2 linked regions of the Daphnia pulex genome follow. The protein of the gene in region 2 purifies or fractionates together with the protein of the main gene of each other region. This does not show direct contact. Links are inferred from orthologs where the notes say so. Each region holds a gene or a part of one and is shown on either strand. Other genes may lie near its edges.

What was found.
Region 1: the proteins of cytochrome b-c1 complex subunit Rieske, mitochondrial-like (region 2) and complex III assembly factor LYRM7-like purify together in Homo sapiens (co-immunoprecipitation; 5 studies listed by BioGRID and IntAct, with this or other methods). This does not show direct contact. The link is inferred for Daphnia pulex from reciprocal best matches to the Homo sapiens genes UQCRFS1 and LYRM7.

The regions. Positions count from the first base shown.
Region 1 is NC_060017.1:6,879,580-6,883,106, forward strand, and holds complex III assembly factor LYRM7-like, read right to left. Parts: upstream 1,440-3,527; 5' UTR 1,365-1,439; coding exon 1,341-1,364; intron 1,248-1,340; coding exon 1,175-1,247; intron 1,087-1,174; coding exon 1,016-1,086; intron 953-1,015; coding exon 871-952; intron 799-870; coding exon 743-798; 3' UTR 685-742; downstream 1-684. Other genes in the region: disintegrin and metalloproteinase domain-containing protein 10-like, read left to right, coding at 1,937-2,000.
Region 2 is NC_060017.1:6,019,832-6,023,737, reverse strand, and holds cytochrome b-c1 complex subunit Rieske, mitochondrial-like, read left to right. Parts: upstream 1-1,634; 5' UTR 1,635-1,796; coding exon 1,797-2,007; intron 2,008-2,171; coding exon 2,172-2,500; intron 2,501-2,571; coding exon 2,572-2,713; intron 2,714-2,774; coding exon 2,775-2,914; 3' UTR 2,915-3,056; downstream 3,057-3,906.

The DNA.
Region 1 (3,527 bases), about 860 kb from region 2:
ACCGCACGCCAATCAGAGCCGACAAATTCGTCTCTTTTGGCTGGGCTCCGATGGAACAAGACTGCGTGTGAAGATCTCGCCTCAATTACTCTTTGTTTTTGTTTTTTTAATTATTATTTCTTATTTGTTCAGTGCTGCCTACGTGTCTTAATAATAATTTGAATATTCTTGTACATTAAATTGTGTTCCGTGGAGACTCAATGACGTGCGCCGAGTGCCAAAAGGGGAAGAAAAAACAATTTTGGCCGTTATTTCGTATATACTGTGTGTGTGTGTGGTTTGTGTCTCTGCCTTACTTTTGCAGCTGTTACTTCCCCCTTTTTTGGGTTTGGGAGGTGTTTTTGTGGGAGGGGAGATGTGTATATGTGTGCCTTTGCGTGTCCTTGTTTCTCGTGCCTGTTCGAATAATATTTGTTGTGATACTGCCTTTTTCGAATTAGTTTGTTTGCTCCATCAATCATATCTCCGGTGCCTTGACAGCTTAATGATTTTGCTGCAGTGCCATATCGGAGCGCCTTGGTACCATGACAGTTGTATAATGATGTGAACATCATCATATATATATATTCTCTTGAACAGCAAGATTTTTTGCATGTGGACTGGCCCAAATGGCAGCCTATGAATTGTGCTTTGTGGTACTTGAAAACTGTACTTACATGTTCAATAAAATAAACTGTATGTCTGTTGAAATGTTACAGTCTCTCTATTTTTCACAATCATATACACTAACATACATTCTAAATCATCCCCTATATGGCGTGTTGTTGTGCATAAAGGTGTCCTTTGTTATATGGAGTCCTGCCACACATAAAGAATAATAAAAGGCAATTAGATAAAGAATGAAGATCACAATCTCAAGGTATAAATTACTGAAAGTGTTTTCTTCGGTGGGGGTGACCTGCACAACACTTGTCCGTAGAATTTCCTCTGCTTGGTTTCCAAGCTTGATTAACTGCCAAAAAAATAACAGGGTATCACTTGGAATGTCGGCACGAAACGAGAATGATCAACTTACTTCTGCTATTGCTTCTTGACTTGATATTCTCTGATATTTTCGGAATTCAGAATTGATTTTCAGGCGAGCGGCTATAATGTAAATAATTAAAATTCATCAATTAACCTGATATATGACTACATTTCTTATTATTTGTCATATTTCGAAAGAAATTCCTACCATCCATGGCGACTTGATCATTGGTAAACACTTTGGTACGAGTTCGATGTAGACACCGAAAACATTTTAGAACCTATACGAGGCACAAAATAAAGGAAACCAATAAATAAGTTGGAAATCAATAAATACAAGGACAAAAATAACATCTGAAAGTTTCTTTATTTACCTCTGCTCTAAGGGGGGCGGCCATTTTCTGTTTTGACAAACAGCGTTGTAGAATCAAAACAGAACCACAACATTTTTTGAATTACATCTAAATGTGTTTTTAATGGTGTCTTTCACATTCCTCAATGTTTATTTAATAATTTATTCCACATTTTTTTAAATTTAGTATAAATTTAATAGCTCCTTTAAAGTTTTGATGAATTTGGCAACGTTTTGGGTGTATTGGCCCAGCCTTCAACGAGAGAACAGAGAGGGATAGGGCCGAACAAAAGACAAGCGTTTTAGTTAGTAATGGAGTAACGAAGGATTAGAACGGAGTGTTGGGTTGTATTCGGACTTGTGGTGTTATTGGTGGTGGAATTTAAAGCGTCCCTTGATTGCGAAAGACATAACACAAGTGAATTATGACTTTACCTCAAGTGATTCTCCCGAAAGTGGTGCCGTTTAACTGTGGTTCGATACCCAGTCAGCTGTACTCGCTTCTCTAGCTCAACTCATCTTTTTTTTTTTTTTTTTCAAAAAATATAAATATATTATAGTGTTGTTTCTAATCTTCTGCTGGTTTTGGATTGTTTGAGCAGACCAGTGAAGATAATCATGCGTTTTCTGCTGTTACTAGTATGCATTCATCTGGTCACCACACATTTCGCCACTTCGGCCGGTGAGTCATCTGTTTTTTGTGATTGCCCCATCATCGGCTTCTTCTTCTGATGTTATTCACCTCGTCCAGAGGCCATGAAAATGTGCAACCGTTTGAGAAAACCAGTATTCCTCCCTCCCGTGACTTATAAATCTGAATTTCTTGACGTTTGGGGTGTTTTCTTTGTCGCTAGAAAAAGTGTAGCAATCGTCGCGCAAGTGGTTTGACGGTAGGGGGACGACCCTTTGTTCCTTTTTCTTGGAAAGTCATGAAACATTAAGTACTACCTCATACATTCGAGTAGACTTTTTTCCAACGTCATTATAAATGCGTGTTTCAGCTTCAAGTTCAACGGACTGTATCTCTCTCTACCATTTCCCGGTTTATTATCATTTATCACGGCTCGGTTCTCTCTCTCTCGTACCGGTTCATGGCTTGTACGCAAATTTCCCAAAAAAAAGAAACTAACCAGAAGTTGTAGTGACACTGCAGTCAGTGTTATTTTTCACAAGTAGACTCGTTCATACTCGCACACACATATACTTTTAGATTCTAGGAAGATACGACGGATTTCTTTTGATGTGTAACCCTTTTCTCTCTCTCTCTTAGACGTGATGATGATGATGATGTGTATTGCCTCCACCTGGAAACAGGAAATGACTGTTGGCCACATTATTGTTGTGCAAGTTTTAACTCGCCTTCCTTTCAATGCTGGCGTCCATTCTGATGAGTGGAGGCCGTGACTCAAAGTCCACACCGGATGACGAGCCATGCTACTGTTAGTATGTACACACACACACACATCAGTAGCAGCAGACGGCTATTAGTATCTTTTTATTTCAATAGAAGTAGTGATCGCACAAAAACAAAATCCTCCCCCCTTGAAAGCGGAAAGAGACAGGAAAGACAAAACCGGAAAAAGAAAGACACGTTACCCCTCTAATTTTGGCTTTTCTTTCTCTTGTTGGCGTTGTTTTGTTTTGTGTCAGTCGAGTGGAATGATACCACGAACCGAATCCCCTCCCGAGTTACGAGACGAGGTACCCCAAATTGTCGATGGCGGTTTTACGTTACGTTGAACACCACCAGTGTCCATCAACATTCGGAATTGGCCCAACGACTTTGTGTGTGTGCTCTCATTCCGGTTGGGATGGCAGCAGCAGCAGCAGTTATTTGGTCCTATATCCATTCCAATCTCCTTCTTATAACACGCTATCTTTTCACGGTGACGTTGTAGGAATTCCAATTAAAAGGTTAGACGCATTGTATGCCATGCATTTCGCCGTTTTACAACCCATCACAAAACAGCAGTTTCCCTTTCCATTTCCCTGTCTTGCATCCGAACGACGTCATTGAAGACGTGTTGTCCACAAGAATGCATTTCTCCCATTATAGTCCACGGTGGGAGCATGGGGGGCGCATTGCATGGCTGACGTGAATCGATTTCCCCCACTTTTTCCGAAAAAAGAAAATGGAATTATAATGTAGAATAAAAAAGAAACCTTGGCCCAATTTGGTCACGTTGTTTTGCGTGGGTAAAATCCATCC
Region 2 (3,906 bases):
AGTTAGAATTGAAAATGATACACACCTCTACATTTTTCTTCACAGCATGAGACAGGTTGACGCACAACCTATCAGAAGAGACATGTATAAGAACTGGGATGGACAACACTATTTTTAAATTAAAATGCACTTCAGAGAATGTAGGTAAGGATGAATTAAGTAATACATCATTCCACCTCAGATTGGGTAAGTTGTTTCATCACTCATTTATTTCTTTCCAGAATGAAAGTTAAGTTACCATGGCAAATCTCCAGAGCTTGTTTCATGAAGTTACATCTCCCACAACTGAATCATCTAAATAAAAATGCTTAGATTAGTTGGATGGGAAAAAAAAGATGGAAGTGAAGACAGTATTTAAAAAATCAGATGAGTTAAGTTTGGAATCAATAAAATGACCTTGTCAAATTCATACGAACGAGACTCGAGAGATCATCATCTAGCAGGATTGTAAAAACCCAGAAAATTACTTACCACGTTTAGGAAGCATGGCGGTGATATAATAGGAAACAATGTGAATCACGTAGAAATCAAGCATACTTAAATATGATAAATAAAACTTGCGCACCCTTCAATTAACTTAACGAAATTAACAGAATGTAACATTTAACAAGTCTCAAAAACAATTTTAACTTTAGATGCAGTAGACCTTGATTGTCTCATTGCCGATGTTCAAGTGATTTCAAACGTGGTTGTCACTTCATTCATTGAGTATGACGAATTCCCTCTACCGGTGAGTTTCCCATCCTTCGGAAAATTGAATGTGCCAGATTTATAATTTTCATATTGAAATAGACTAATATTTTTTATATACTGTATTTTGGGACTTTAACTTCAACACAATATTTTCAAAATTATAAAAAGACACTAGAATGAAATATGAATTCTAATTTATCATTATTTACATCTCAACTCGAGTGTGAATGAAAAATGGCAACGCGAACAACCGCGCGAGAAAAAGAAAAACATTTAAAAAAAAAATAAAGGTGAATTATATTTGCTTCCCATTGAATCTGGAAAGTAATCTTTCAAGTAATCTGGAAAACGCAAAAAGAAAAGGTAGCTTCAAAGTTGAGTAAAAAAGGCAATAACTCATGCAACTTTTTACAGGTGCAATACAGACACAAGTTTTGAAAAGTTAAACTGTTGTCTTAACTGACAAGCCTGCGACAACTTGAGCAGTACAAGAATAATAAACAACACCTAATGCCAGATAAGGAATACAGACTCAATATGTGACTTTTTACATTTATTACGACGGTGATAGTAAATCAATCGGAGACTTGATTTGTAGTTTTAGCATTCTTAAATCTTGTCTGTTACATTGTCGAGGTCATTTGAATTCATCATTTCCGCTGAACATAAGTCCCTATTTGTGTGTAATGTGTTATGTCAACTCGACGATCGACGTCTTTGGAGCGCTCTTTGTTATTATAACGAGCTTGTTGCCAACAAAAAAAGAATAGGAGATGAATTCGTTGTACTATTTCAATTACCATGACAAATAAATAAATAATCAGTCAAATATAATCGTCTCCACATTTAACCCGATCTAATTTACGGCATGCAATATTGGCTTTCTAGTTTATGAATAGCAGTAAATCAAGTAAAAATTCATAAGGTTTACTTTGTAGACCTCAAAACTTGTCGGACGACGACTCGAAAAGAAAAAGTCGTTACCGCGTTTTATAAAAAGAATCCGGCAACGCAGCGATCGTTCACTTTTCTTTGCAGACAAGAACTTCGTCCATTTTGCTCGACTAAAAATCTCTCGAAAACTTCGTGAGCTCGGCCTAAAAATGTTTAGTTTTGTTGCTCGTTCGGCAAATTTATCTTCCGTAACTGTTGCTGCCACACAATCGGTAGCAAATGGCTCGAAAGCTCTGTCTCCGGCCGTTACCATCAACATTGAACGAGTTCTAGTTCCACCACCAGCCCAAAAACTAACGACCAACTCTTTAACGGCTGGTTTGCCGATTAATCCGATAAGGGCATCAGTTTCAATTGGAGGTAATATTTTTTTCTTCTTGTATAAAACTGTTTCTAGATAATTTGGGCCAAGACAAAAAATTTTGTTTCATCAGAAAATGGTGGCCTTTAATTTCGATGTTGAATGTCGACACTCTTACATTTTCAAGCTACAATTGCATTTTTTTTTTTGTTTCTCCTTTTAGGTCCTAGCCAGGTGCGATTTGCTCACACTGATGTCTCAGTCCCAGATTTCTCTGCCTACAGACGCAGCAATCTTAAAGACAGCAGTGCTGATAACAAATCAAGCGCACCTAGCCGACAAGGATTCTCGTATCTGATTGTTGGCAGTGGAGCAGTTGGTGGTGCTTATGCTGCCAAGACTGTTGTTGGTGAATTTGTGGGCTCCATGAGTGCTTCAGCTGATGTTTTGGCTTTGGCTAAAATTGAAGTTAAACTGAACGACATCCCTGAGGGTAAGAACGTTACCTTCAAATGGCGTGGAAAGCCCCTTTTCATTAGGCATCGCACTGCGGTATGTATTGATTATGATTGTGACTCGTAAATAACTCTTGCTGATCGACAATTGTTCCCCCATTATTTTAGGAGGAAATCGACACGGAAAGCAAAGTTGATATGTCTACACTGCGTGATCCACAACTTGATTCCGACCGTGCCCAGCGTCCCGAATGGCTGGTTTTGCTCGGAGTGTGCACCCATCTGGGTTGTGTCCCAATCGCAAATTCGGGTACGTTTTCAATAATATTTCAACGTAAAAAAAAGCTTTTAACGAGTTCTCTTTTTGACAGGCGAATTTGGAGGTTATTATTGCCCATGCCACGGTTCTCACTACGATGCTTCTGGCCGAATCCGCAAAGGCCCAGCTCCTTTGAACTTGGAAATCCCAATTCACACTTTTGTGGATGAAAACACCCTAGTTGTTGGTTAATTTCGTTCAAAGACGGTCACTACTCGTGAACATCTTTCTAGGAAAATCAACCCAAAATTAGCGTCTATCCCCCTCTTGCTTTGTACAGATACAATAAATACACGATCCTGTAGCTGAGAGAGGGAAGGACTCAGTAAATGTACCATAACACTTTCTTTAATTATTATAGGCAAAGCGCTGATTCTTTGGCATGTTTTGCTTTTGATCCGGAATCTTTCAGTTTGTTACCAGAATGCTGCAAGTAAATTCATTTTAGATCCTACGGCCTCAGAGTAAAAGCAATTATCTAGTCAAATGAATGGCAATCACTAACGAAATCGGGAACGTGTATAGGGAGGTCTTAAGAAATGGCTTTTGGACTCACGAGGTAGCGTGCAAGTCGCTGGCTGGGATCATTGTGAACGCACATTCAAGTTGCCGAGACGGACGCACAAGAAAAGGGGCGGGGGGCGAAGGGAACTTATATCTCTGCGAACCATTCTCCTCGTTTCTATTCAAGTGACTCGATGGTAGTACTTATCGACCCGGAAATTTCAATCGAATCGTCGCCTGGGGAGTCCTAATCTATTGTGCGAAATCAAAAACGGAAGGCAAACGAGTGTACAGTCGTCCTTTTCTCAAGACGATTTCCAGTCACAGAAGTAGAAAGAGATGAAGGGGAGTAGACAAATTAAACTTTGAACGCATTCGTAAAGGTTGAGCAACATTTGAATCAGCATTTAACGTCAACTTACTCAGATCATTTGTACGAAGTTTCCCTTGGTTCGTTCATTGTTGGTGACGTACACGATAAATGAGGAGTTGAATAGTTATTTCTGGTTTGACATGTAAGAATGAAAATACACTTGTCTCATTTAAATACGAAATAAAGAAGTCGTCAAAAATGGTTTTGTTGGTTTGTTTGTTTGTTTTTGTCTCTTTTCTTAGTAGGTTGAACACAGCAGCGATACAGGTATTACACTCGAAAATGAGAGAAAGATCATTTGACTAGG